4 linked regions of the Lonchura striata genome follow. The protein of the gene in region 1 binds, or shares a complex with, the protein of each later gene. Links are inferred from orthologs where the notes say so. Each region holds a gene or a part of one and is shown on either strand. Other genes may lie near its edges.

Evidence for each region.
Region 2: CNOT2 (region 1) and CNOT9 share a complex: the UniProt entries of both Homo sapiens proteins name them as parts of the CCR4-NOT complex. The link is inferred for Lonchura striata from reciprocal best matches to the Homo sapiens genes CNOT2 and CNOT9.
Region 3: CNOT2 (region 1) and CNOT6 share a complex: the UniProt entries of both Homo sapiens proteins name them as parts of the CCR4-NOT complex. The link is inferred for Lonchura striata from reciprocal best matches to the Homo sapiens genes CNOT2 and CNOT6.
Region 4: CNOT2 (region 1) and CNOT11 share a complex: the UniProt entries of both Homo sapiens proteins name them as parts of the CCR4-NOT complex. The link is inferred for Lonchura striata from reciprocal best matches to the Homo sapiens genes CNOT2 and CNOT11.

The regions. Positions count from the first base shown.
Region 1 is NC_134607.1:44,843,666-44,850,498, reverse strand, and holds the start of CNOT2 (CCR4-NOT transcription complex subunit 2), read right to left. Parts: upstream 3,021-6,833; 5' UTR 2,891-3,020; intron 2,340-2,890; exon of another isoform or gene 2,286-2,339; intron 1-2,285. UniProt on the Homo sapiens protein: Component of the CCR4-NOT complex which is one of the major cellular mRNA deadenylases and is linked to various cellular processes including bulk mRNA degradation, miRNA-mediated repression, translational repression during translational initiation and general transcription regulation.
Region 2 is NC_134610.1:15,626,874-15,634,530, reverse strand, and holds the start of CNOT9 (CCR4-NOT transcription complex subunit 9), read right to left. Parts: upstream 3,013-7,657; 5' UTR 2,937-3,012; coding exon 2,913-2,936; intron 1-2,912. Other genes in the region: USP37 (ubiquitin carboxyl-terminal hydrolase 37), read left to right, coding at 4,129-4,284, 7,058-7,229. UniProt on the Homo sapiens protein: Component of the CCR4-NOT complex which is one of the major cellular mRNA deadenylases and is linked to various cellular processes including bulk mRNA degradation, miRNA-mediated repression, translational repression during translational initiation and general transcription regulation.
Region 3 is NC_134617.1:7,163,094-7,170,321, forward strand, and holds the start of CNOT6 (CCR4-NOT transcription complex subunit 6), read right to left. Parts: upstream 3,018-7,228; 5' UTR 2,762-3,017; intron 916-2,761; 5' UTR 539-915; intron 1-538. UniProt on the Homo sapiens protein: Poly(A) nuclease with 3'-5' RNase activity.
Region 4 is NC_134604.1:87,469,787-87,477,282, forward strand, and holds the start of CNOT11 (CCR4-NOT transcription complex subunit 11), read left to right. Parts: upstream 1-4,476; coding exon 4,477-4,882; intron 4,883-6,090; coding exon 6,091-6,255; intron 6,256-7,496. UniProt on the Homo sapiens protein: Component of the CCR4-NOT complex which is one of the major cellular mRNA deadenylases and is linked to various cellular processes including bulk mRNA degradation, miRNA-mediated repression, translational repression during translational initiation and general transcription regulation.

The sequences.
Region 1 (6,833 bases):
TCACTTAAATCTGTCATAAAAATTTTGATTTGACTTCCTAAGGTACTGTACTTCCATAGAAACTGGTAAAAGGCTTTCTATTTAAGCTAACATTTATAAAGACACACAACAAATGTGGCAAATACTCTGCCAAGAATTTAAAAATTTTCCTTTTTGATAACGCATTTTTAAGGTGCCTTTTATTCAAGCAAATTATAGCTTTAAGGGAAGACATAATTTTAAAAGTTAGATACAGGGGTCTACTTCCATTAGAATAAAATTCTGTACTTGGTGCACTTTATATACTACCTCAAAGGAAAACAAGCAATTCAATGTTTATTTTTAGTTTCCAGATAAAGTCAGAAAGCCAGGTGATAGAAACCTCTGTTTTAATTGAAATACGGTGTGTTTTTAAGTTCTATTATCTTCTTGAGTTCATAAAAGGATGGAGGTGGAAGATATTTTTGAATAAACAAAGTTATGATACAAGGCCCCTTTAAAACCATAATGAGGTTACTACTTAGCAATTACTACACAACAGCCCTTCCATCAACATGAATATTAGGATAATTTTTAAGAAAGCTACAACAGAGGCTAAAACAGCAATAATGTTCCTGATTTCAAAGCTAATCTCTATCCAGACAGAAATGCATTTAGAAATATTAAAAAATTAAACAGAAATACTTTCTGAGATCTAAAGGTCCACTGCAGGCACATAGAATTTTCATATGAAGCTACTAAGGTAAAGACCAAGATTTTCAGGTGGAAACAGCCACTTCTTAGCATCAAACAATTTTTTAGCATCAAACTTCAGAACACACCAAGTGTCCTATTTTTTTCCACTAAATGACAATTACTAGAACTGGATTCTGTTAAAGAAAATTCAAATCTGTTTTTTTGATATAAATTTCTGGGGTTTCTTTATTTTCAGTTTTTAGCCAAGGGCTTTTCTTTCATTTCTTGATAGAACTGACACACAAATAGATTGCAATAACAATGACTACCTTGACAGCAGTATTAAGTTTCTAGAAGAGATATGTAGACAAGGTTTATCTACTACTACACTCTTAGCTTTATCAACAGATTGCTGAAAATGAAACGGAAATACACTTGCAAGTCAAGTCAGTCAGCTCTTGATAAGTGAGTATTCAAATCCCTTTCTAAAATCAGAAGCAGTCAACACCTCGAAGTTTAGCATACCAACTGAATACACAACACAAAGAACAGTGGAATTGGGGGGCAAAAAGAAGAGGGAAAAAAAGGCATGGGACAGATACATCATGTTCAAGTTCACAAAACTTGATCCTGTGAGCTATGTTCCATTAATGTGTCAGTATAAGGTAACTTAAAGTACATCAGCACATACACAACAATTCTTCCAGATCCAAAGGAAGATGCCTTTGCAATATAAACTTCTAAAATTACTTTGCTCTTGCAGGTCTTCACAAGTCTGAAACAAATCCAAGTTTTCCAAAAGATAAAGTTTTCCAATAACAGGCATGACAGCAGGTTTGATCATCTTAATCTATCCTTCCCCAGCTGAAGAGTTAAGACTAGCAGCCAGTCACCAACACCAGATGTTGCTGCTTGTGCAGGCACATAGGAGTGTCTCCTCCACGCACTCAAGTCACATAAACACATATATGTTTATGAAAGATACACAGAAAGTTCTTATCCTCCCCTGGGGATAAAACACTGCAAAGTTGGGAACAACTTTTTCCCTGATAAAAGAGACAGCAGAAATTAAACATGCTTGTGTTAGATTTGAATAAGCAGCAGAAGCAAATACCACCTTACACAAACATATTTTCATTTTCCCACATTACAGAGCCTCCAAAACAAAGTTACTTGTAACTTCACCAAAAAAACCCCATCCTAAAACCAAGAACACCCATTAGTTGGTCCTTGTTTTCACCAGAAGCATACATACACTAACTAGACTGCTAACACTGACACTTGCATCTTTTCCCACCGCCCTACTGTCCCCCTCTTATCCCTAACCTGTCACCCTGTGCCACCTCCTCTCCCAGCACGGGTCAGGCTCACGCCAGAGCTTGTCATCGCCGCCCAGGCGGGCAGGGGAAGGCTGGTTCCTTCCTCCGGCGCCCGCGCTCTGTCCCTTTCAAGTTTGTTTTACAAACACGTCCGAGGGAAAGCCAGAACCTGTTTACACACAGCCTTAACCTGCACCAGGAGGAGAGTGAAACAGACGCAGGAGAAAAAAAAAAAAAAAAAAAGTAAAAAAAAAAAAAAGAAAATAAAATAATTTTTCAACCGAAAGCCAGCCAGCAACACCCCCATCTCACCGCCTTTCTCCGCCCGGGGCCCGCGGCGCAGGCCGCACGGCCGCTCGGCGGAGCGCGGGGCCAGCGCGGCCCCGGCCGTGGGCGGCAGGTTCCGCTGCCCCGGCGCCGGGCCCGGGGAAGGCGGCGGGCGGGGGCCGGGCGGCCGCGCAGCCCCGCGGGGCCGGGCTCGGAGGGACGGAGGAGGCCTGGGACCAGCCGGCGGGGCGGCGGCGGGAAGAAGCCGGTCGGGCGGGCCGAGTGGGCCGCAGGGCGAGCTGCCAACGGCGGCCGCGGGGATGCGGGGCCCAAACACAGCCGGGCCGCGGGCTCGCCCGTCCCCGCAGCGGCGCCCGGGGGTCCCGCCGCCCGCGGCCGCGGAGGAGGGCGGGGGGCGGCGGGCCGGGCCGGGCCTGCGGCTGCGCCCCCGGCTCGGGCGCCGCGCGTCCCCCCCGCTCCCCCTCGGAGACAAAAGCAAACGGAAACACGGCGGGGCGGCCCCAGGTCCACCGAGCCTCGCCGAGGGCCGCGCCGCCGCCCGGGCCTCCCACATCGGGCCGCGGCCGGGACGGCGGCGAGGCCCGTGTCGGCGGCGGGGCCGGGGAAGGGGCGGCCGGGGCCGGACTCACCGCATGAATTTTCTTGTCCCGCGAATCCAAGATGGCTGAGTATCCAGCACGGAGGATGCTGGGGGAGCAACCTTTACCCTCTGACCCGGCCGCCGCCGTGACCCCGCCGCCGCTCGTCCCGGCCGCCGGCGCCGAGGGGCGGGGGCAGCGCCGCTGCACCGCCCGCAACGGCTCGGCCCTGCGGAGGGGCTGGGGGGGACGGGAGGAAGGGGAGGAGGAAGAGCAGCGAGGCTCCCTCGGCTGCGCTCCCTCCGCCTCCCGCGGGAGACGCGGCCCAGCGCTGGGGGCAGGGCCCGCAGGCCGCGGGGCTGCCGGATGCCGCCGGTGCCCGCCGGCCCCGCCGAGACGCTGCTGGCCGGGGACGCGCCCGGCCCAGATCCCGTTCTCTGAGGGGAGAGGGCGCCGGCCTGGCGTGCCGGGCCAGATCGGGGCGTGGGGGTCAGCAGGGTCGGGGCGCAGCGGGGCTCTCCGGTCCTCCCCTCGCTGTGCTCCCCGGGGCTGCCGGGGCCTCTGGAGACCTACCCCGGGTGGACGCGCTCCCTTGGCGAGCGCCCCGGCTTCCAGAGAGGGTGTCCCATCCTCCACGGCCCTGCTCTGTCAACTCCCTTTGGGTTGCAGAGCGCAGAAGGAGCGGCCTGGCCTCTCCGCAGGCTGTGCATCATCCTGTGGAGGTTCTAGGTCAGGAACGACCCGACGATGGGGTAAATTGTGTCAAAGTTCCCATTTTCTCTGGAGTGTGATAGCAGTAGAGAGACAGGTCCAGCTATTAACTTTGTGTGTTAATAAAGAGGAAAAGCATTTACAAGATGACCTAAGTGGACTTTTAATTTATCGACCCACAAAATGTGTGTTATAGCAGTGGCTTCAGTACAGCCAGTGCTGATGCACAAAACACTCATGCAAATAATCCCCTTGAATTTAATGAGACTGTCAATGGTAAAAAAGCTAAGCCTTTGCACAAGTGTTCACAGGATAATGGCCAACATCATTTGTGAGCTGGGTGCTCTGCTCCATCAAAAAAAACCAAACCAAAACAAAACAAAACAAAACAAAACAATGGCACTGACACCTTAGTTTGTAAAATCATCATAAAGTTTAAAATTTCAAGCAAAGATATGAGCAGCAATAGCAGGTTTCTTTCAATAGTTTCACACGTGTGCTTTCTTCTCAGGTTTGATTTTGAACCTTCAGATTGAATTTAGAATTACTGAAGAACTCATTAGGTTACACAACACTAATATTTTATAGAAAAAGGTACTACAGTAACATGTCTATCAACATAAATACATTTTGAAGATAAAAGAGCAGCCTTCCTTTTAAGCCAGGAGACCAGTTTCTTTTTGCCACCAGCTTTAGTTGTGTGATGAGAATGGCTGCCATGTCATTGAAATGGATGTGTATATACACCATCCAGGAAGGCACTGCATTTTATTATTCCAATCACAAACCTTTGTGACAAATTCATGCATTTGCTAGAATCAAACCATTAGAAAGTACCAAAAGTGACATGCTGTTTATAGTATGAACTTCTGGACCACTTTTGTTGTTCAGTCTGAAAAATCAAAAATTTCCTCTTACCACAAATCAAATACAAAAGCAGTACTTTTATACTGAAAAATACAATCAGTGTTATTAACCTTCAGTGTTATTAGTGTTTATATAGTCTGATTCTTTTATATCTGATTATAAACATCTTGCTTCATTATATTTCATTTCACACTTCTTCACTGGTCTGACTTTCTTTTTTAAAAGCTAATTTTCCTTCAATTTTCCCAAAGAGAAGTCATTAAGACAATACCAAACAATATGCTGTAAGTAAACTAAGAACCTGATATTGTCATTGCATGTACATGGGCTGATCTCTCTGTTCATTGCAAAGTAACACTTTACATACAAATCAATTAGCATTTATAGGACAAGAAGCTTGACTAGCTCAACAGAGCTAGTAATGGGGAAAAAAGTGTGTTATCTTGTGTTAGACTGGTTAGTTTAGTATAAACAACCCAACCTGCACTCACAATATGTGTAAATTGTGATTAAAATTCTGTTAACTGAAAAAAATCTAACCTGTCCTTCTGCTTAACTCTGTGTTTAGTTGAGGAAGTTCATTACTCAAGCTGTAGTAGCTGTGTATTCTACTTCCTCTTTTGTTTTCTTAAAGAAAGTGAAAGCATTTAGTGTTTTGATGTGTTAAAATAACGTCCAAGGCTACCAGTAAAGAAGGTGTATTGTCAAGTATGTGCTCATACCTTTGCTGCTTTTAGTCTTGACTCAATACATTTTGTTACAAAGGTGAGGTCTGTTTCCCATAGTTGCATCTGCTTAATTAAAGAAGTGCCCTGAACGCAACTAACACGAGGACTGATAATTTGTGTGGACAGTCCTAATCCATTTTGAACCATGTATGGTAGAGTTTTACCTCATTCTTTAGGTCTTTGTCTACAAACTGATATGCATCTGTTATTTTTATTCTCATTTAATCAATGGTCTCTTACTATTTACTTATTCCACAGACTAGGTTGATACACATCCATCTTCAATCAGTGTAAGAATGCCTGTAGGAGTCAATCTGAAAACTTTTGTCTATAGCAGCACAGGTGAAGGAACTACAAAGCATGATTACAGAAACCTGTCCTGCATGTGATCATGTGTGCAGGCCCCTGCAGTCAACAATCCATGTGTTGCCATTGACACAGCCTTCTACCTAATGTTCTTGAAAGCTGGGCCCTGAAAGCATGTGTTCTGAAGCACTCCCAACACTTGCCTACCATCCGTTTGGACTTCACTGGCTAATGCTTCTGCTAGTACCTACAGAAGGCTAAAAACCAACAGCACTTGGCTGGAAAGTTTGGGAAGAGGTCATCAAAAGAGTCAGGTGTGCTTTGAATCCCCAAATGCTTAGCTCCAGAGAGTTCATCAACACTCCGTGACTCAAAGTATCACCAACAGATGTGGGCAATGCAGGTGCAGAAGTGGGAGAAATTACCCAGAGTATGTGTAGGGCAGGGTTAGGCTGTTCCACTTCACCAAAACGTGAAATTAAATTAGTCATAGTAAGACGACCATCCTCACTTAAGAGTGGAGGCAGAACATGGTGAATTAGCAACCCTATAAGCAATTTTTAAATAGAACAAAAATGTTAATTGAAATGCAGTTTTTCTCCCACCTATGTATTGTCACCAGAGTTTTCAGGAAAAACAAATACAGTGCAATCACCTGGAGCAAGAGTTGGCAGCTTTTCAGCAGTGGTGAAACAAGGTTGTATTTTTCTTTCCCAGATTATGGATTAAGTCCCTTGGAAGAAACAGCTTGAATTGCAAAGTGCATTTGATCAGCTAAAACAGTGAAATACTGCTTCAGGAGAAGACAGAGGTTTCTGTTTTCTGCAGCTTCTCCCTAATCTATTTCTTACTTAATGATGTTCAAAAGTGCCTCCATTGCTTTATTTGGAAGGTTGTAGGGTTACAGCACTGCACTGCATTAATCTGTGGCCTAGAAGAACGTGGCAGATTTTTTTCATTAGTACAGCCTATTTGATTTTTCAAATATTTCTATAACAGGAGGATAAAGGTATGTCAAAATGTACACCAAATCTAATATTAGAGATTATCTATTAATTAATCTATTATTAGAGATTAGAGAGGTGTTGACAACACTTTTTTTTTCCCAAGAACAAAAGCACTGAGACCTCACATTTTCTTAGTGTATTTACTTGTAGTTCTTAACTATTACACTGAAATTGAGCACAAAATATTTAGATTTGTGCAGATTTGGTTAGATAGTTTGACTTTTGCAAGTTAGTCTCCAGTTGCTAGTGCATTTAAGAAAGGTAGGGGAAGGATCAGCTGTTTCCATGGCACTGTCCTTATCTATCCTTTCACTCCTACAGGGGATTTCCAGGGATGGCTGCTGGCAAGGGAAGCCCTAGAAGTGCAGCTCAATT
Region 2 (7,657 bases), on another chromosome or scaffold:
TCTCTGCTCCATCCACCTCCATTGTATTATTTAACGTAAATGTTCATACGTAAACCAATGTGGTGTTATCAGTCCCTCTATTCTAGGGCTCAAATACTTTTTTAGCTGTTCATATTTCCTCCTGTCCTCTTTTCTCTCACTGTCATGGCTTAAGAATGGTATTCTCCAATTTAGTATTCCCACTGAAACCATTCCAAACCACTTGCCACTCACTCCCTCTCTCTTTCCAGTCCCAGTCCCCCTGCTCCAAGATGGAAAGGGGAATGGGGGCACAAAAGGTAAATATCACAGGTTGAGATAGCAACAATTTACTGGGAACAGCAATGACATAAGAAAACTAACTAATATTAGTGACAGAGGGTACAAGAAAAGAAAAGTTACTGCTCACCCCACAGAATTCCCCCTACAATACCAACTGCTTCCTGGGCCATGCAGCCCCAAGCTCAAATCAAGTCCTTTCTCCCTCTCTGAAAAATGATGTGAGGTGGTTCAGAATAAACTCTGGAGCCTAGCTATGCTTCTTCCCATCTAATGCAAAAAATAACTCTGTTCTGGGCATAACCAGAACCAGGACACTCACCTACTCAATTTCTAATTTTTTTTCCCCAAAATCTCAAACTAAATTAATGATCCTGCCAAGTTTCTTGTGCCCCTACAATTGTGACTGCAATTGCAATGCTAACTTCTACACTGAAGCTCAAAAAGAGAGGGAGAATGAACAGAGCTCATTTGTTTTTATGTGGGATGGTGGATTGACAAGCACTGTAGCAATAATGTTGTTATAATTGTGTTATCTAAAGCTTCCATCTATTTTTCTAGACTCACTGGAAGTTTCAGTTCCTGTAAGCTTAAATACATCGACCCCTTAAAAGCACAATCATGTGCTTGTGATCCCTAGAGAACACTAAGTAGATTTTCCACACAAGTTTATGATGTCCAATATATGCCTTAGCCAGAACAAATTGCTTTTCATAGGCCCTACAGTTGCTCTTTTTGTTTTAGTTTATATGGACTTTTTTTCTTCCCCCTAATTCCCTATTTCATTATTGTTTCTTCTTCTCCCTCTAAGACCCAAAATTCTGGGGAACCCTGAAAGCCACACAGATCTTCCAAGCTCCAGGACAGAACCCCACCAGGTAGACTTTCTTTTGCACACAGGGAAAACAAAACTTATAAACAGTATTAGATCAGAAAAAAATCTTGTAACATCTTTTCTCCTTCTTGGAGAAAAGACATCTCTAATGCTGACATAACAAATTGATTTACACAAAAGGCTTTCTCCTCCTAATTGAGCAGCTGCTGCTAGGCACAGTGGTAAAAGTCCTGCTGAGCCAAAGTCTAAGCTCACTGACTGTGGTAGGAAACATTTCAATACAGAACTACCAGTTAGCATAAACTATGCATAAATTAAATATACATTCAAGTGAGTCCTAAAATAAAGTTGCTCTCTATTCTGAAATTTTTTTTTTGTTAAAATTGTCTTTAAAAAGGAGAGGTAACTAGACACAGGATTAATGGGAGATATGCCTAATGGGAGTCCTTCATGCATTTTAACAAACACTAAAGAATTACAGTGCTATAAAAATGTAAACGCTGATTAAGAAAGTTTACCTGATCTGGCACACCCTTCCATGTTCTGGAGAACAGTACTTAAAATCAGAAGTATTTGACAGCACTCCAAGAACTAGTTAAAGTCATAAGCATTTAAACAGAGGAGAAATGTAAAAAGTTCTTTAACTCCTGTTCATCAAAACTTTACTTACTCATTAGCTTGGCAGTCCAACCAGACCCTCGATCTAAGTTCATGTGAAACAGCTCTATCTGCTGGCTTTGCATTACACCTCCCACACTCAGTACACACAAGACTCAATCAGCTCTAGGAAGTCTTTCACATGCCATGAACGAGCATTTGGAGAAGAAAAAACCAAAACACAAACCCAATCACGTGGGAGATACAAAGCAATAACCACATCCTTCAAACTCCGCTTCCATTTTTGAACCCACCCAGGCCAAGGTACTGTTCCAGTCCTGCCAGCCCGAGCATCAGGCACCGTATCCAGCCATGGCAGGTTCCTGAGGAGGAAGAGGGCAAGCACCAGCTGTGGCCGGTGCTGCACTGCCACGGGACAAAGGGAAGCAGGAGCAGGCAGCACCTGCTGCCATGAGGGGCTTTTCACCGTCTACTCTTTCTCTCTGCAGTCAAGGCCAGCAGTAAAACAGCTCCCCAGAAGGCAGAGGAGGTGGCTGGGCACGCAGGAGGTGTTGCAGATAAGTGTTTTAAGGCCACTTAAAGAAAATGTACTCTGAATATTTTGCTTCAGCGGGAGGGTCTTCCTTATCCCTTCTTGTCCTACCTTCTCCTGTCCTTACCATTTTCTTCCCTGCTCTTCCCCCTCCACACACTCAGCGGATAATAATTTTTTGGATTTATTTTGGCTGTAGATTAATCCGTTTTAGACTTTCGTCTGCTTTTCTTCGATGTGCTTCTTTAAAAGTAGAGCAAACCCTACCAACAAAATTTGTCACGCTTCTGCTTTTGTATCAAACGTGCTTTTGCCGACACCTTTGCTAGTGGTTCTCTAAGGAACCCCAAAGCCCTGACTCGCTGCAGGAGGCAGCGCGGCAGGCAGGGGGAAGGGGGAACGCCATACGTGAGGCACACGAGGCACAGCCGGCTCACCCAGCGGCAGCGAAACCTCCGGGCCCCGGACGAGCCCCGCACGGAGCAGCCGGAGCTCGGCAGCTGCCGAACGGACCGCGCCAGTGACGCCGCGGGCGCGGAGCTCACCGGGGCTCCGCCACCGCACGGCCTCAAGCTCCCCCCGCGCCGCAAGCAGCCGCGCTCCCGCTCCCCGCACGGTCCGCGCAACGCGGCCCCATCCCCGACACGGTCCCGTGGGCGGTCGGCTCACCGCGGCCGTGGCCAGGCTGTGCATGGTGGCCGGTGGGAGCGGAGCCGCCTCACGCTGCCGCCGCCATGGGCTCGGCGCCGCCGCCGCCCCTCCCCGGCCGCGCGGGGCACGCCGGGACGGGCCCGGGCGGGGCCGGCGCCTGCGCGCGGGGCGGGCGCGCGCGGGGCGCGCCGGGAAGGCGCTGCCGCGCTGACGTGAGCGGGCGCGCGTTGCGCGCGGTCTCGCGCTGTGCGGCCGGTTCCCGCCATCCGCCGCCCCTTCCCCCGCCCCCCCCGGGCCTCGCCCCGGGCCCCGCGGGACGCGCCGGGACGCGCCGGGACGCAGGTACCGGGCACCGCAGGTACCGGGCAGCGCCGCCACCGCGCAGCGCCGCCGCCGACTCCTACCCGCTCCCGCCGGCCGTCCGCCCCTCCCGCCGCGCGGTCACCGCCTGCCCTCCGAGCGGCCCGGCCCGGGGCGGGCGGCGCTGCCGCGCTCACCGTGTGTGTGAGCGGCGGAAGCGGAGCGCGGCCAGGCCCGGGAGGAGCCGGGACACCGCCGGGTCGGGCGGGGAGCGGCGGCGGCTGAGCGCGGGATGGCCGGGGGAGGCTCCCCGGCAGCGCCGCCCGGGCTGCGCGCAGGGGCCGCTCCATTCATTCCCGCCGGGATCTGTCGGGAACGCGCCTCGCCGTGCTCTCCGGAACGCAGCCGGGGCTCTGTCGCCCCGGGCTCGTGGCTTTCCGCGCGGGGAGCAGCGGGGGAAGCCGGAGACCTCCGTCCCGGCCCTGCCAGGTGGCCGCGGGTCCCGCGCCGTCAGGAACGAGCTCGTTTTCTTAATCTGGAGTCCTCCTCCAAAACTCTGTTTCCCATCTCTTGCTATCTTTCCTCAGGCGCTTTTTTTCCCTCCCTTACCTTAAATCCGGTGAAGTTAAGGGATTTTAAGGACTTTTGTGTCTGGAATTCTGTCTGCTCACCTTTCAGCAGTAAGGAGTCGGTGCACTGCTGTTCATACTGGGAGAGATTTTATTAATCTGAGTTTTCTACAGTGCCGTCCCGCTCTTCCTCACTGCGTTTAAAATCAGTGAAACGGTTCTACCAAACTTCTACGGAATGTTCAAGCCATGCTTCCATCTTCCTTTAGCCATTATTTGGCCCACAAAGTTATACATTTCTCCTTTTTAACAGGTTTTTAAGGTGGAGCACACTTACTGTTGTTAGCTCTTTTCTGTGAGAAAGCATGGCTCTGTTAAAGGTGCACGGACCTGTCCGGATGCGCAGCATGCAGACTGGGATTACGAAATGGAAAGAAGGGAGCTTTGAAATTGTGGAGAAGGACAACAAAGTGAATCTAGTAGTTCACTACAATGTTGGAGGAATTCCAACCACGTTTCAGGTATGCCAGACATTAAGGCTTTTGTTTTAACAGTGCATGGATTGTGCTCTCTTGTGAACAGCTGTCCTCTTCAAGGCTATTAAGTGTCCTGCAGACTTCCCTCTGTCACTGTTTCTTGTTCCTCGTTTCCTGAACACTAATCCCTTTGTATAACTCTCCAGTAAATTATTTACACGTATTGTTAAAGGCTCTACCAAGGTTGGCATTGAGATACCACTGAATGGGAAGGACCAAAAAAGCAGAAAAAAGTTACAGAAGTATAGAGCATCGTGGTTCACATTTCAGATTTTTGGATCCTGTGACCTTTCTCTTACTGGCACATTTGCATTCTCTAGAGAAGATCCTGACCATTTTATATTAGCTGTTTCCCCAGCTGAGGTGTAATGATGTTAATACACCTAATGTTCAGACTTTGCTGAACATTACTTGTTATGGCTGTTGTAGGTTTTTAATGCAGATGTAGATCACTGTTAAAAATACTCTTGAAATATTCAGCTAAATTTTTTCTCATTCTATAGTTGTTTTCAGGTCAGTCTTCCTAGATTTTGTGCAAAATGCCCCAAATCAAAAGCAGAGTGATTTTTCTATAAGAAACACATACCTGTTTTAAAAATATGTAATTGACATAAGAGCAGTTGGAGGAAAAAAAGATCCCAGTTTGTTTAGCAACTTTGCAATGGCCTAAAGTGATCTATATGTTGGCTTCTGCTTTTTCACACCACTCTTGTTTTTTGTCAGTAATGTTCACCAGGCTGTTCTCTGAGCCATTTATTTCTGTGTGTGCAGATGCTATGAAAAAAAAAAGTTAATTTCTTTTTGAAAAGTTAGTTTTTTGCTGCCTTAGTGTCCTTAAAAGTCTCAGCCAAGAGTCTGGCAGCTGGTGTTGCCTGGAAATCAAGGCTGTCAGGAAATCATTAGCTATGATTGCTCCCACCTGTGTTACTGCAGACTTGCAAAGAGTCTCTGCCTTCTCAGGTGTGCTGCTGTGGCTGCAGGTTTCGTTTAATCCACTGTTGGACCATGTTGCTCCTGAGGAGAGCAGTTTTGTCTTCCCCTTGTGCATTCCCTGGGTGCCTGTTCTCACACACTCCTTTCTGCCTGATGAGTGATGTGGTGTGACAGCAACTCACAGGGAGGTTCCACAGGGAGGATGAGCCTACAGAACAGCTAACCATGGCCTAAAGGGGCAGGTTTTCTTCCCAGCCTCTCATGTCTGCTGTCTCTGTCACTTGTCAGATCTCTTTGTGAGCTCAGTGGAGGGTTTTCACAGAAATTTGGGGAAAGGACTGAATGCAGGATCTAGCAGACAGGGTGATAAGCAACCATGCACCTGAGACTGCAGCAAAGGAGGAGGAGGAGGCTTGTGCTGAAGGGTAGTTTGTGTGAGACATCCCCAGGCTGTTGGCATGCCACTTCAGGTGTGACAAATTCCTGATGATCTTGCTGTAGAAGTAGCATTCCCTGTTTTTTTGACGAGCTGCTCTGAGAGGACTGTGAGTGAGCTTCCTGCCTGTTTTTAGTTTTCTGTAATGGAAGGTTTGGATGGAGCCGATATTATGTTTCTTTCTACGGTGACTAGTGTGCCATCGAATTTATTCTGTTAAATGATGTCTTGGAGATGTTTCAGAGCTTTAACTAAGTTGTCCTAGGTAGTATTAAGAGAATTACTTTGTTTCCCCACACCTGCCGAAACTATGGATGGAGTCCTCTGACAGCATTTTGAGTTGAAATGGGTTGTTTTGCTCTGAGATGGTGAAATAATTGTAATCCCTTTGCACTGGACTCAAGTGTTTCAACAGCATGGAAAACTTGGAGCCTATTATTCAATTCTTAGGTCTTTGAAGGTATTTTTAGCTTATATTTTTAAAAAATCCCAACAAAAAAGCCAAACCCAAAATACAAGGATTGAGCACAATGTGTTTCAGAAGTGTAATGCTCACATTAAAACAAACCCATAGTTACTGATCAAGGTGGTTTTTCAGCCCCTCTTACAAGCTGCTGTTGTGTCTAGATTGGTTTTCCAAGAAGCTAGAGATCTAAATTGAAAAAAAAAAAAATCTTGTTCTTGGGCATGAAGTGTCTTTTACTATCTCAGTCTTTTTGAGCTGCCCTCCACTTGCACGAGTAGTAGAACTTTACCCAACAGCCAGTTTTTGTAGGTGACTTAGCATGAAACACAAGTAAGGTTATTATATTACAAAATAGCAGTGGCATCATTAGGAAGCACAAAGTCTTATTAAAATTATTTTTGTGCTCAACCATAACCCTGAAGGTTTTGTCATCACTTAATTGTTAAGATGTTGCATACAGAGTAAGCATGTTTCTTACTGACTTACCTCCTCAGCAGATTTTTTTAAATCTGTCTTCTTTGGGAGCAAATTGTGAAGTGAAATATTTGTGTTTAATACTTGAAACTTTCCCCATCCTAAATTGTATTTTGCTCTTGATGTGGAGGTTTTTACCAATTGGGACTTCGTGAAGTTGTTTTTCCTTTACACTTACAGATGTTACACTGAGTAGAAAAGCAAGTTTCAGAAAGCTTATCTCTAGAGACTGTTAAGCAATAGTGACACTGTCCTTACAGTTCTGTCAGATGCCAAGGTCACAGATTGTATTAATTTTATGAGGTTTAATGTTTCCTTGAAGTGGAGCAAGGAGAAGTATTTTGGTGGGAGTCTCTTATCCTGTCTATTTGAAATCTTTTGTTTGAATTTGTAAGTATTTTGGGCTTTTAAGGGTGGATTTATGCTTATAGTCACTTTCTTGTTTTCAGTTAAGCCATAACATTAAAACAGTGACCTTACGACCAAATGGCAGAAAACTGTGCTGCCTGATGCTAACACTAAAGGATACCAGCTTTCTGACAATTGATAAGGTACCTTTTAAAGATGCAAATGAAATGCGGATGTATTTGGATGCAGTCCATCAAGACAAGGTTCATACTGGTAAGTGCAATTGTTGTAAGTCATGTTATAACATTATGGAGAGGTGTTGTGTTCTCTTTTTCCCATCTTATCGTGGTTTAACCATATCCAACAACAGCTAAGCCCCAAGCATCTGCTCACTCAGTCTTCCTAGTGGGGTAGGGAATAAAATGAGAAAGTGAAAATGAGGAAACTTGTGGGCAGGCACAAAGACAGTTTAGTAAGTGAAGCGAGAGCTGTGCACGCAAGCAAACAAATGAGGAATTCACTCACCACTCCCTGTGGGCAAGCAAGTGTTCAGCCATCTCCAAGAAAGCAGTACTCTACCTGTGTCATGGTGACTTGAGAAGACAAACACCATCACTGTGCCTCCCTCACTTCTTCCCCAGCTTTATGCACTGACCATGATGCCACACGGTGTGGGATATCCCTGTGGTCATTTGGGGTCA
Region 3 (7,228 bases), on another chromosome or scaffold:
TAGCATCTTTGCCTAATGTGGCCCTGTTTGAGACTGGGATATAATGCTCAGACTGCACATACACAAGCATACAGCCAAAAGGATGTGACAAAAACAGATAATAATTTAAAATTCAACAGTCTGTTAGCAAACAGAACCAGGGCCTCTGCAACACGGACTGCACAAGTGGATGGAAGAATTCTGGTTCACCACATGGACTCCTGGCACAGTGGTGAGCCAAACAGCATGGCACAATGTGCTACGGACACTCATATTTAAGATTTTTGGTAACAGAGTAACAGAACCCTTTTTGTTTATACAGCCACATTTTCAAATATGGATTCTTTTGTTCATATGTTGGGAAAGAATTTTTAGTTTGCTCAGTCTTGGAACCATTTTGAAGACAGTGGTTTCTACCACAAACATTGCACTTGGTTAAAAGAATGTCTTCCTAATATCTAGTACAGCCCTATCTTGAAAAGGTACCATGCTCATTCAATTTGTGACCCTTCATAACATGTTTTCAAGTCTTCATGTATAAAATGTCAAATGCATTTACCTGCCCCTGCAGTACTACAGTTTCATCTATCTTTATATTTCAATTCTTCCTCTAAAATTCAAGCACAGTAAACATCCTGAACATGAGACTGCATTCAGAGTTCAACTTCAGAATGCAAACAGAAAAGAGATGCATGGTAGGATCCTTTTTAAACATGGGCTGATCCAAACGATTCAGGTGAAAAGTGAACAAAGAGTTAATCCAAATGCGAAGGGCTCCATTTCAGTAATAGCACGAATAAACCCCCACAGAAGGCTTCATTGCTAGCAGCAAACTCCACAGAGTCCAGATGAACCAGCAGGAAGAACAGAGGGCAGATAATCCTGTAAAATTACCCCAGTGGAAATGTTGATAAATTCCCAATTATGAGACCTGCTCTAGAATGAAAAGAAATGAGAGATACAATACAATTACCAGTCAACACTTGCACATCTTTGTGTTTAAGCCAGACAAATACCACAGGTATTTCTTAATCCCTTGGATTTTGAATTAGTTACCCACTGTGCCGAAATCTAGATTATGAAAATAAGCCCCAGAAATCAAATGAAAAAACAGGCAATCTGCAACTCTAGTTACAAAGGAAATACCCATCCATGAAGTCCTATTTTCAGTGATGCAATTTTCTATGCGTTTGTGGAAATACAGATGGCTGTATTAAAATACAAACAAACAAAAAAACAAAACAAAAAGAAAAAAAACACCAAGAAAAATCTTTAGCATACTGCATTTGTTTTGAATATAGTTCTTACATGACATAAAGCAAAGCAGCACAGAATCAGGTTGGAGAAGACTTCTAAGATCATCGAGTCCAACCTAGGACTATAACCTAGTAGGTTTCATATGAATTTTTAATGTTTGTGGAAAAAATGCTGATAAAATATGTGTTCACCATAGAGACTAAGACACAGACAGGTGCATTTGATATCTCCTTTTCTAAAGCCTTGTCTGATCCCAGGCTTATCGCTCTCCATAAAATTCTGGAGGAGGAAAGGCTGTCCTGTGAGCCCCAAGACGGACCGGGGGGTGCAGGAGCTGCCCACCGCCCGCTCGATGCGGTTCGCAGGCGGCCCAGGCGCTCATTCCCCACGGCCTAGCAGAGGCAGTGACTCCGCTGGGGCCCCGCCCGGTTACGGAACGCCGGCCGGGCCGCCGCGATCCCGATCCTGATCCCGATCCCGGCCCGGGCGCCGCCGCCCCCGCCCCAATTCCCTCTGTTTATCCCTGCACGCGCCCGTCCCGCGGCCGCGCGCGCCCGCCCCCCGCGCCTCCCCATTGGCCGCCGCCGCTGTCACTCACGGCCCCCGCGGCCCCGCATTGGCCGCCGCCGCTGCCACTCAGGGCCCCCGCCCGCCCCGCCGCTCCCTCCGCCGGAACGAGCGAGCGGCGCTCCGGCCCCGGCGCCAGCGCGGCCGCGGCTCCCGCTGCCGGCGGGGCGGGGAGGGACGCGAGGGAGGGCGGGCGGCCGCCGCGGCTCCTTCCGGAGCAGGCGAAGCGCTCCGCTGACAGGCAGCGCTGCCGCCCCTCGCTGCGCGCCCAGCCAGGCGGATCGGCCTCCGGGGAGGCAGCGGCGCGGGGCGCCGTGCGTGCAGGGTGGACGGGCAGTTCCCCCGATTGGTGTCATTTCCCTCGGCCTTTTGTTTAATTATTTTAAACTCAATTGCACGGTGAGGGAAAAAAACAAAAAAACCCAAAAAACCAACAAAACCTACCAGCACCAATAATAACAACAACAACAACAACAAAAAAAACAACTTCAGGCTTCCAGATGCCATTATACTAATTTCTCTTAATTGCCTCTCCGATGCAAACAGAGCCGGGCTCCTGCGCGGCGCCGCCCGGCCCGGCCCGGCTCCCTCCCGGGCTCCGTCCTGCCTCCCGCTCGGCGGTGGGCGCTCGGGGGCTCGGCCCGGGGCTGCGGAGCCCTCTCCGCGCCGCCCCCGCTTCGAGAGCCGCCGTTCCTCGCCGCCTCCCCGGCCGCGGAGCCTCCTCCGGGCGTCCTCGCAGCAGCGGCTGCCCAGGCCCAGCACACCCCCGGCCCCCCCCACGCCCAGAGGGGCCCCCCGACACCCCCGAACGACGCGGCGCGGGGGCTTCTCCCCGCCGAGCCCGGGGGTCCCCCCTCGCCGTGCTGCCGCCGGTCCCCCCCCAGCGCACTCCTCCCGCAGCGCTGCCCCCCCCGGGCAGAGCCCCCCGCTCCGGGCCGGGCGCCGGGGCCGCCCCTACCTGTGGCTGCAGCATCCCCGTCCCCCCGCCGCCCTCGCTCCGCCGCCTGCCTGGCTCTTTGTTTCCTGCCGCGGGCCGGACGGGAGAGCGGCTCCCCCCCGCCTCCTCCTCACACTCATTGAAAGCAAACAAGCATCATGGCGGCGCTGGCGGCGGCGGCGGCTGCGGGCGGGCCGGCCCCCCTCCTCCGCCTCCTCCTCCTCCTTCCTCTCCTCCTCCTCCGCTCCGCTCCGCTCCGCTCTCCGCCCCACCTGCCCAGCCGCCCGCACTGCGCGCACGCTCCGCGCGGCGGGGCCGGGGGCCGCGGGGGGATGCGAGGGAGGAGTTGGGAGCGCGTTCGGGGTACGGCCGCACGAACGCGGCGGGGGGAAAAGTGGGTGAAAGTAACGACTGGGCTGCGGAGGAAGGCTCGAAAGCCGAGCAAGTGGTGCATGGCAGGGAAGGGGCTCCTAGCAGCAGCCCAAGGAAGGCGAATTGGAGTAATCATTTGTTTGGGAAAGAACTTTTAAATTCTCCTGCAAAAGCCCAAGTGGGGAACTCAGCCTTGAAGTGGATGAGCTCAGACACGGTGCAGGTGATAGGCCAAACGCTTTTCAGGAAAGACAACATGTCTTCTATGTTTGCGTGTTTAATGGGAAACCAGTACCTCGGATCCTTCGCTGTGACACACTCAGGAACAATGTTTACGGTGAAATGTCCCCCAGAATCGCCAGCAGCACCTTTTTGAAACTCGGGTTGCGGCTCACGTTATTTTTCTCCATGAACTGATTATTGGATGCAAACCAAGATATTTAGAAAAATAAAGTACATTCTCATTAAGTGTTATTATTACTGTCCCTGCACAACAGGATTTTATGATGAGGGATGCCAAGTGAAGTGATGGTGGGGAAGTGCCATCCCTGGTGTAATAGTAGCAAAACACCTAAATAATGACTTCCAAATTAAGGATTTCATCAGTTTCTCAGAGAGTTAAAATGCTGAAACATTGATGATGCTGCAGCAAATGAGCACTTGGTACACACCCCTTCATCCAAAGGAATAGTGAAGACAAAGACACTCCCAGACACCCATAACTGTCCCAGAACCCTGTTTATGATCTAGGAAAGCTGAATAGGAATTGAGGCCTCTATTTAGGTATAACTAGATATGTAGCTGAAAATAAATGGCACTCACACTCACACTGTTGTGCAGCAAGGCATTCTCTTTTAACTCAATGTGAAAGAGGATGGTACCAGGTCCAGCTTCTGAGGAACACCACCCCCATCCGTGGAGGCCACTGCTTTGGAAAACATGACCGTGGCATGCTGCTGACCAAACCTGCTCACAGAAAGTCCTCCACGGAAAGGTTGACACTTGGTTGGAAACAATCCTGCTAGACTTCAGATTTCTGTTCAGCCTTATCATATCATATATCTGAAATGCTCTTGGATGATAAACTATCTCCTCTCCACATGGTGCAGTCCTGTGCTAAGATACCCGAGCCTGCTCCATTACGGATGCGCACGGGCTCTGGCAGAATGCCCTATCTGCTTCCCCGTGTTGGCTGGCTCTGGAGAGCTGACAGTCATTCAGAACTGACTCGAGCAGCTCTACATGTCATTCTCCTGCACTGCATGTCTTTTCTTTCTGATAAGCAGCTGTCCTGCACATTCTTCAGTTAATACTTTCTGGGTCAGATATGGCCTCAATAGACTATATCATTTTGCCCAGAGCAAATTCTCCAAAAGCAGTAGGAATGTCTTTGAATACGTTGCAGGATTTTCCAGGAATTGCTACTCAGCAAAGAAAATTCAGTTGATCATAAGTCTCTCAAAAAATGCTTGCAGGGAACCTTCATTCCTCAGGGATGGGTGCTGGGGTAAAAGTACATTAAACATGGAAAGGTCTACTGACAAAGGCCTGCAACACTGCAAGTGGAGAACCAATGGCAGAAAATACTGTAATTCTCAAATACCTGAGATAAGCAAATGAGAACATCGGAGAGAATAATTTAAAAGCAATTAAAAATTATTCTGTATAGATTAACAGGAGATCACAGCAATTTGGCAGATTTCAAGTTAGTGAGCTTTATTATGATTTTACAGGTTATTTATAAAAAAATCAGCAATATTTGAAAAGCCTAAAATTACAGCCTTTTATGTCAACAATGTTTTTTAACCGCCAGCTTGTGTGGTTTGAAAGAGCAGAATGAAGTAAAAACAGGTATGTGGGGGTTTTTTTAGAAACTGTTATGTTCCACTGAATTTCCTGTCAGCAGTGCTATTGCTCATCTGTGCGTCTGATTAACTTTTGCTCCCTGAAAGTGTTATCAGACCTGTAACCAGGCAAACAGCAGAGCAGATGGCCAGTGCCAGTATCGGTGTTTCTGGTCTGGGTGCTTAATGAGATCTGAGAGTGTAACATGAGCCTCTTTCATTTTGTCTGTCTCACATGGCAGATATACTTGGTGCAAGTGCTCTGGTTGCTCAAGGTCACAGATTCATCAATCAAGAGAGATCCCTTCCCTAAATTAATCTTTTACCTGCCCATGACAGTTCCATACATCTCAGGAGCTGCCAAGTCACACTGAGTGCTGTTGTCCTGAGTTTGGGACAGTAGTGCTGCAAAAGAGAGCCAGGTTAAGCAGAAATTGCCCACTGTTTAAAACACAATGTTAGATGTACTGTACTCTGAGAGTAAATTTTCACTCATTAACTCTAAACCAAAAATGCCTTTTTGTGCTGTGAAATAAGCCTTCAGCTGGCCTAAATCTCCCATCCCACACAATTGCCTGTACCACACTATGAAGGTGAATGTCCCACAACATTTCTCACCTTACGCTTAGAAGTATTTGCTATGAGTGGTTTAAAAAAATCTCAATAACGCCCCCAACCTCCTGTCTGAATGCACGTGTCCGAGGCTGGAGCTGGGAGTGTGCCTGGGAGGCCTCAGGGAGGCCACTGGGTCCATTTGACCAAGGCTTACAGCTGGTTCGAGGTCCTGGTGCCTCTGTGCACTGACAGAGGGATGTGAAACTTGTGGTGGAGAGTTGTCTCTGTGGCGGAGCAATGGTACATTTTTGCTTTATTTAAATTGCTAAATTTGGTGAAGATGTACTCTTGAAGTATCTGTATCCAGTTGCACAGTAGAGGCTTGTTTGACTTCTAAGTTCTTTGTAGTAAAGGATGTCCTTCATCCTGCATGGCTCACGCATCAGCCCATCCTGTGGGAGAGCAGGCACAGAGGGGTTGTGGCTTGTGGGATCTCTTGTGTCTGGGGTTACAGAAGGGGTGACCAAGGAAAGGTCCTACCCACTCCCTCACTTTCTGTGCCCAGGAAATGTGACAAAAGCAACGTAACTGGAGGCAGGAAAGGAATCGGGGAGGAGAGCACAGTTTTGGTAAAGCAGGGGAGATAATGAGGAGGAAAGGTGTAACTGGGAGATGGAATGGGATCCCAAATAGGAGGGCAGAGCCTAATAATGGTCTGCATTTTCAGTGTGTGTGGGTATAAATACAGGAATCTGAACTGCAGGATGGCTTCCATGGCTGTTGAGATCAATGGGATAGCTGCTCTGAACATGGCATATGCCTAAAATGACAGGTAATCTGAAAAATGAGGACTTAGAGCACTCATATTGTGCTTCTGAAATCATTGCATTTTTAATGATTTCAGCCTTAAGTTTTATGGCCTGTTCTCCATCTACCGAGTGAATATAAGAGCATCTTCTTTCACAGCTGGATAGTAAAGATAAATCTTTGATGTTTATTGAGCATTAGAACTACAGTGAAAGCTCTATACAAAAAGCATTGAGGCAATTAATATTCCTGCTTTTCTCTGCATGGAATGGAGTTCAGTGGTTTCCAGAAGACCTGTATGTAAAAAGGTAATTGAAATCTCCCCTTATGCATATCCACAACAGAGATGAATTCAGGAATTTTAATCCTGGGATGGCACAATTTGTAGGTAAGGCTTTGCAGCCTTAGAATTACTTTATTATGCATTGTTAGACAAAAGTGGAATAAGTAGTTTGAAAGAAACTGAATATGATCAAAAGCTTTCCTTCTAGAAATATCTGTGTTTTAGTAGGAAGACTTCCACAGTGAGAGAAGAGTTTCTAACTCCTTTTTGTCAGTTATGAATACTATTATACATCTCTGCCACCACCTGAGATACTTGTGTACTGTGTTTAGATGACTCTCAGAATTATTTAGATATTTGATAAACTGTCAGGATTGCAGCAGTTTAAAATGTACATTGAATCTTGTTCTCTAGCTCAAGCATGCAGGTCTGTGGAGCATTGAGTCATTAATACTTCCTAGTGTGCACATTTGTGCTATACTGTAGCAGTGACGTAACAGATCTAAGAATGCTATAATTCTTACTTGTCCTAATCAAATATTAAAATCTGAAGGCTGTTGAGAAGCATGATGTTGTTTACCTCATTGTCATTTTTTAGACACAGGCTGATTCTTGCATGTTTTTATT
Region 4 (7,496 bases), on another chromosome or scaffold:
TAAAAAAAGGAAAAATGAGAATATTATTTTGCTTCAAACAGTTTTTGAAGGAAAAAGAGTTTCTAAGTGATCAGGAAAGGGCTTCCTTGTCAGAAGAAGAGTCTATCCAAAGACACATATGCAAATAGCAATACTTTATGCTGCTTTTACGTGCCAATATGTCCCTGTTGGAGTTTCACCATAAATCTAATTGGGCCAAAGCTCTGTCTCTTCTGGGAGCATCCAACACTCAAATAATCAAGAGAGTGGACTAACATTAATTTACAGGTGTGATCACATGTGGCTTAAAATGCAGAGACCTCACTAAAACTTGCAGCAATGACCATGTTTATTTCTAAGCCACTCAGTATTCAGCACTTATGAAGCCATTAATGCAATGATATTTTTGGTGTTTCTTAAGTGCTTTTCAAGCTGTATCCAAGATACCTTGGCAGCTTAAGAGAGTTAACAAGTGAAGATGTATTCTCATACAGTTACTCAGGAAGACTTTTAGGTATTGTTAGCATGCCAATATTGTTGATTACTCCAGGAATAACAAAATCTGTTTCCGTATTGGTGGTCCTGTCTCATATTTTGAAATGAAAAGATGAACTAGGAAGAAAACATTTAACTGTTGCTAGAAAGATACACATAAAGAGATGTACACAGAATGCATATTCTCCTTCCTTTCTCTGATATGCTGCTATTTAAAATACACTGTAGACAGGATGGGTCACTTTAACTACTATGGAAAGGAATTTGTTTACAAGAGAGAATTCTCATGAGAATAAACAGAACAATCTGGAAGAGTTTTAATTCACCCGTTGACTTTAAGGTGTGACTTAATTCTTTCCTACTGTGTCCCTCCTAAATGAACTGTGGGGATAAAAGATAGGCTGTTGGAAGTTGTTTCCTGAGTATTTAGCCTCTTTGCTAGAAGAAGCTAAAATACTGGCTGGATAGTTTTTTAATACTTTTATTGCTCCTTCCAAATGTTGTCTTTTTCTATCTATCCCTCATTAGGATTTTTTTATAGTACCTGCAATGTAGCCTGTGTTTCTTATGTGTCATCTAAAATACAATAGTAAACAATAAAAAATACAATAGTAAATAATATCATAAATTTTAAGAAGGAAAGAAGGAAAGAGGACTCCTACAGTTAAATTGCATAGCCTTGCCCTTAGCTCCGGAAATCAAATCTGATTGTTCTCCTTTGGTTGTGAATCTAATTTTCCAGCAACAATTACAAGTCATCAAAAGCTGATGTTCTTTTAAATACTACATCAATTGCATTCTAACAGCCCAATTATTTTGTAAAGCTTTATTTGTATTTGCAAAGAGTAACCTGCCAAACTAGATTGCCTTTATCACTTCTAGTCTGGGATCTCTGTGTCTGGGCTAATATGTATTAGCATGTTTGAGCCAACAGAACAGGGTTACACAAGGGGCATGAGAATCAGAAACTTAAGTACAGCCCCAATCTCTTTATTCCTCTCTAGCACCTCAAAGCATGTTTTTTACTGAGGTTCTTCCTTAAAGTCAAACATAAAAAATGACAGGTGTATTTTATGCTTATATTGACCATTTAATAGCTATTCCACAGGCCATCTAAAAGAAATGGAGTATGCTCAGCCTGCACCCAGAGGCATTGTTCTGCAAAGGGAGAAAACTGAAGTCTTCCTTTTATGCCATGAGACTGTGTTGCACTGAGACATCTCCTGCAGAACTCATCCCCCTGGCCCACCAAGGGAACTGGGGTCCCAACCTTGCTCCCTGAGTATAATGCAATCCATTTCAGATCTGGCCAAGAATTTCTTTTATCTGAGTCTGCACTAGTACAACACACTCTCGCTTCTTCGTTACACAAGTTTTGAGCCCAAGGATGTCCAATACACCCATGTGTACGCAAAATACAGTGCCCTGTGCAGTCACAGAAACACTATTTTACTTACTACACTTCCTGTCCCAAGACCATTTTACACTCATGGGTGTTTTTTTTTTTTTGGTTTTTGGGGTTTTTTTTGTTGCTTTTTTTTTTTTTTTTGGATTAAGGTTTTTCCTACCCTGAAATGGTAATCTGTTTTAAAATCTTTGTGACTTCAAAATTCCCTTTGTCAACTGATGCTCGTGCCTATCCCACTTCCTAATAAGAATTCCATCTTCTAAATTGTTAGCTTTCCTGTTCTGACAAAACCTTTTAATTTGTATTGAATGCTTCCATATGGCTGCATTAGTGAGCACATTTGAGTAATACAATTTTTTTGCTATCTCAGTCATCAAGGAAAGTTTTTATTTCTCTAAAGTCCATTTCTGCAGTTCTGCATCCATTATTCCAGTAAGCACAACATCAAAGAGCGAAGTATGATTCTGAAATCTACAGGAAAAGAAGAAGCAGCTTTCTCTTTCTAAACATATTTATTCTTTTAGCTCTGCTGTCTTCAGCAGAGTTTGTTATTAGGAGCAGGCTGTACAAAAAAGATCACCCGGACAAAAGCATCAAGGTTTGTTTGGGTGCTAATCCACCCAGCAAGCCATCCCTCAATATAAGGCACAATTTTAGATGTGATCATTTCTATCCATAAACTTCAGGCCGAAAATGAACAAATGCAACTTTTGTCAGCACACTAGAAACAGAAAACCTGCTGGTTGGTCTGAGGCCTCTGCTTTCCCAAGTTTTCCATCTAGCTCTACCACACACATACATAGTTTACTTCCTCAGCTATCTGCAATGCTTTCATCTTCTTCCTAAATCTTACAATTAAAGTAATTGTTGCAGTTGTTAGTAAACTCTAAATTGGCCTAAACTTCCAAATAATGCTTTGTTTCCTTGAATACCCTTGGCCAGGTCAGGGAGTTCACTGGCATCCTCTTCCATCTGCTTTACTCTTCTAGCAGCATATGTTGCAAGCAGACTTCTCGCTGTGATCCAGTCCGCTGGTAACTGCTCTGTCAGCAAGGCTTTCATATCTTGCCTTGCCTGGCTGTAGACCTTGTTTTCCTCACAGACCCATCCTTTTTAACCAACTCTATATGTACATTAATCCTTTACACCTCTGGGATCTGGGTTTCTTTCACACCAGAAATGTGAAATAGAGAACACCTGCATTACTTGATCTACACAAGCCTTCAGTTTATATTACTTTAGAAACTGAATCCCATCTTTTACACATGTATTGCTGTCTGGAAAACCAAGATCCTTAGGGCTGGGTGAGTTGGGAGGAATACTACTACTAGAAGAATCAATGCCTGTTCTCAGGACTTCCTAAGGTCTTCTCCTCTCAGCACATTCCACAGAAAGCCCTTCCTCCAGGCCATGACCTCAGCACTTCTGGTTAAGCCAGTGACTTGCTGTCCCACAAGATGTACTTCCACAAGATAAGCCAATGAAACATCATCACACTTCAGAGGGATGTGCTTCAATCCCTGACTCCCAGGCACACATTACTGCAGCCCACCACCCTCCAGCTCTGCTGAGAGCCCCACCAGCAAAGTGGATAGTCTCAACTGCACTGGACCATGGAAGATAAGGATGAACATAAGCCCTGCAGAATCAGTTAGATTGAAAGGATTTCTGAGATCATTGAATCAACCTGTGACTGCACACCACCTTATCAACTACACTGGGGCACTAAGGGCCATATCCAGTCTTTCTTTAAATACTTCCAAGGATAGTGACTCTGCCACCTCCCTGGGCAGCCCATTCCAATGTATAAATCACCCTTATTGTGAAGAAATCCCTAATGTCCAACCTAAACCTCCCCTGGTGTCTCTTGATGCTCTGTTCTCTCATCCTGTCGCCGGTTACCTGAGAGAAGAGCCTGGCCCCCACCGGGATACAACCTCCTTTGAGGATGTTGTAGAGAGTGTTAAGATCCCCGCTGAGCCTCCTTTTCTCCCGGTTCAACAACCCCAGCAGCCTCAGCTGCTCCTCATGCAACTTGTGCTCCGGACCCTTCAATGGCCCAATCCGCGGTGTAAGTGCTGCGGCCATGAGGTGTTCCTCGGCCACGAGAGCACCCCCGGCCCCGCAGCCGGGCAGGGCGCGGGGGCTCCTCCGCGGCCGGGAGCGGCCCCGGCCCGGGAGGCGCGGGCTCCAGGCGCAGGGCTCCCAGCACGGGCTCCCGGCGTAGGCTCCGAGAGCAGGCTCCCAGCACGGGCTCCCAGCACGGGCTCCCAGCACGGGCTCCCAGCACGGGCTCCCGGCGCAGCCCCGCCGCCGCGGCCCCGCCGCCATGGCGCGGCCCCGCCGCGACGCACGGGGACAGCGCAGGCAGCGTCGCGCGCCGCCGGGCGCCCCCTGCCGGCCCCTGCCGGGAGCGCGCGCAGCCGCCGCCCGGGCCAATGGCCGCCCCCGCCGGGCGGCCCGGACCAATCCCGGCCCTCCCGGCCGCGCGCGCCGCCCCGCAGCCCGGCACGCCGCCGGCGCCTTTCGCGGCAGCGCCGTAAAGCGCGGCCGGCGGGGAGCGCCGGGCCCGGAGCGGCGGCGGTCGCGGTCGGATGCCCGGGGGCGGGGGCAGCCCGGCGCCCGGCACGCAGGCGGCGGCGGAGGCGGGCGAGGCGGCGGCGGGCGGCAGGATGAGCCTGTCGCCGAAGGAGCTGTCGAGCCTGCTGAGCATCGTGTCGGAGGAGGCGGGCGGCAGCACCTTCGAGGGGCTCTCCAGCGCCTTCCACCACTACTTCGGGAAGGCCGAGCACTTCCGGCTGGGCTCCGTGCTCGTCCTGCTGCTGCAGCAGCCCGACCTGCTGCCCAGCCCCGCGCAGCGCCTCACCGCGCTCTACCTGCTCTGGGAGATGTACCGCACCGAGCCCCTCGCCGCCAACCCCTTCGCCGCCGTCTTCGCCCACCTCCTCAACCCCGCGCCCGAGCGCGGCGGCGACGAGGCGGAGCGCACCCCGCTCTCAGGTGTGTCCCGGCCGGCGGGGAGCGGGGCGGCCCGGCGCTGTAACCCTCCTGGGGAGAGCGAGTCCTGCCGGCGGGGGCTTGGTGCCGGCCAGGCCCTTGCTTGGACCTCGTAGCTCTCTACAGCTGCCTGAGGGGGCTGGGGCTGTTTAGCTTGGAGAGGAGGAGGCTCGGCCACTTTCCGCTCTCCACAACCGCCTGAAAGGAGGGAGGCTGTAGCCAGGTGGCGGTCGGCCTCTTCTCCCAAGCAACCAGCGACAGGACAAGAGGACATAGTGTAAAGCTGAGCCACGGGAGGTTTGCGTTGGATTAAGGAGTCCTTCACAGAAAGGGTGATTAGACATTGGAATGGTCTGTCCAGGGAGGTGGTGCAGTCACCATCCTTAGAGGTGTTTAAGGAAAAACTGGACGTGGCACTCAGTGCCCTGGTGTAATTGACATGGCAGTGTTCAGTCATAGGTCAGGCTCGATGATCTCGGGGGTCTTTTCCAACCTAATTGATTCTGTGATAACGTGGAATTTTTTGGGGAGAAAGCAGTCACAAAAAGCTGGAGGTGATAGGAGGCTTCTGACGGCCTTAAAGCTGTGAAACAAAACTGTTAGAGAGAAATACATGAGAGTGAAACACTTTTTTCCTCTTCAGTAAATATGACACTACCAGTGTTGAGTAAAGCAGTTTCTAAAAAAAATAACCTGTTGGAGAGACTACAGAGAGAACCACCAAGTTGGTTAGAGGGCTGGAGCACTGGAACAGGCTACCCAGAGAAGCTGTGGAAGCCCCATCCCTGTAATGTTCAAGGCCAGGTTAGATGGAGCTTGGAGCAACCTGGCCTAGGGATGGCTGTCCCTGCTCATGGCAGAGGATGGGAACTAGATAGTCCTTAATGTCTTTTCCGACCCAGGCCATTCTCTGATTCTGTGAATTTCAATGTCAGGTCATACTTAATAGCTCACTTTTTGTCTGGATTGGAAATTGTGTGAATGAACCCGAGTGAGCATCAGGTGTGGCTGTCATCATGCAGAATACTGATCACGTAGTGCTGTATTTTGCATTAAAACAGTTCTGTGTGTGTCACACACTCTCCAGCTGCACCTACCTTGTCATAAATAACAGATCAGTTTGTCTTAGTTTTGCTTGTTATACAGGAAGAGCACAGAAACTGTTAATGCTCCTGCATTAAAAGCCATGGATTTTCACTGTGTCTCCACAGGCTTCTTACCTCCCATAACTCCTCCAGAGAAATTCTTTCTTTCACAACTGATGTTGGCCCCTCCTAGAGAGCTGTTCAAGAAGACTCCTCGGCAGATTGCTGCAATGGATGTGGGGAACATGGCCCAGTCGGTGGACATCAGTGGGCTGCAGCTGGCATTAGCAGGTAAGGAAGGTTTGTGGCTGTGGTGCTCTTGGGGATGGAAGGTCTCATTGGAATGTGACTGTGGGCCACCTGAGAAACACCTTTTTGTCCTGAATATGGACAAGTTTGAACTATGCTTCAGGGTCTTCAAGCCTGTGTTCAAGCACTTAGAGAAACTTCAGGCAGACATTACATCCTAACTGTTTTATCCTCCTTAACAAGTAAATTTTAAAGCATATATGTAATTGCCTTAAATACAAGAATATTTTGCAAGTATAGGAAGATTTCAATCTAAAGCTATGAGGAGTGTTTTTTTTTTTTGGGGGGGGGGATGAGTTTTTCAGGGTGGGACGTTTTTAGTGGTTTTTTTTTTTGCTTTGTTTTAGTTGTTTGTGTGGGGTTTTTTTGTATTTTCATCCCTTTTCACCCTCTGCAGTATTTCTATTATGACAGAACAAGCATAACTGTCATGCTATTACATACCAGTACTTCAGCTGTACCTGGAAAATTGACTATTACAATTATATCTTCGGTTTACTGCAAAGTTAGGCCTTGCAGTGTTAGCTCAAGAGTTGGAATCCAGTTTTACTAGATTGAAAAGAAAAGCAATGTGATGCTTATCCTTTGACAGGAGAACAGGAGGGACATGACTGTTCATGTCACATTTGGAGTGAAGATGAAATATTATACATTGTTGGAAACAAGGAACCAGTTTAAACAGAAAAAAAAAATCCTTTTTCCCTTGGTATGTTGGAGTAGACCTGCTTGCTTGAAAACTAACCATTCCAGATCTGTGTCTGTACAATGTGATTTATTGCTCTGAGGTTGGGCACCATTTATATCCATTTATATTTTCTGTGTCCTGCAGTTTTATCTTGGTATTGTAATTTTATTTTTTTTTTTTCTGTGGCCTCTGACATTGACTGGTAAAGCTGTGGTATACTGTCCTTTATGTCTTGTGAGGTCCTCCTTAGCTGCTATTTACAGACTGGGATAATTTGAAAATGCAAATCGAACACCTTAACACGCCATTGTGAACAAACTTTTCTGGTCCTTCTTGTGTTCATCCTGTCTGTATTTTGTAGACTACGAATTAGCAAATTAAAATTTTGCTTGGGTAATTTGTCATTTTTTTAGTCCAAGGCATATGTGATGCCTTTAGAAACCTCAAGGTGCTTTTATTTGTTTTCCCCTTGATACTGTGTTTGCCTTCCAAATAGTTTGTTCTCATTAAAGATGAAATAATTGAATCACAGAATGGG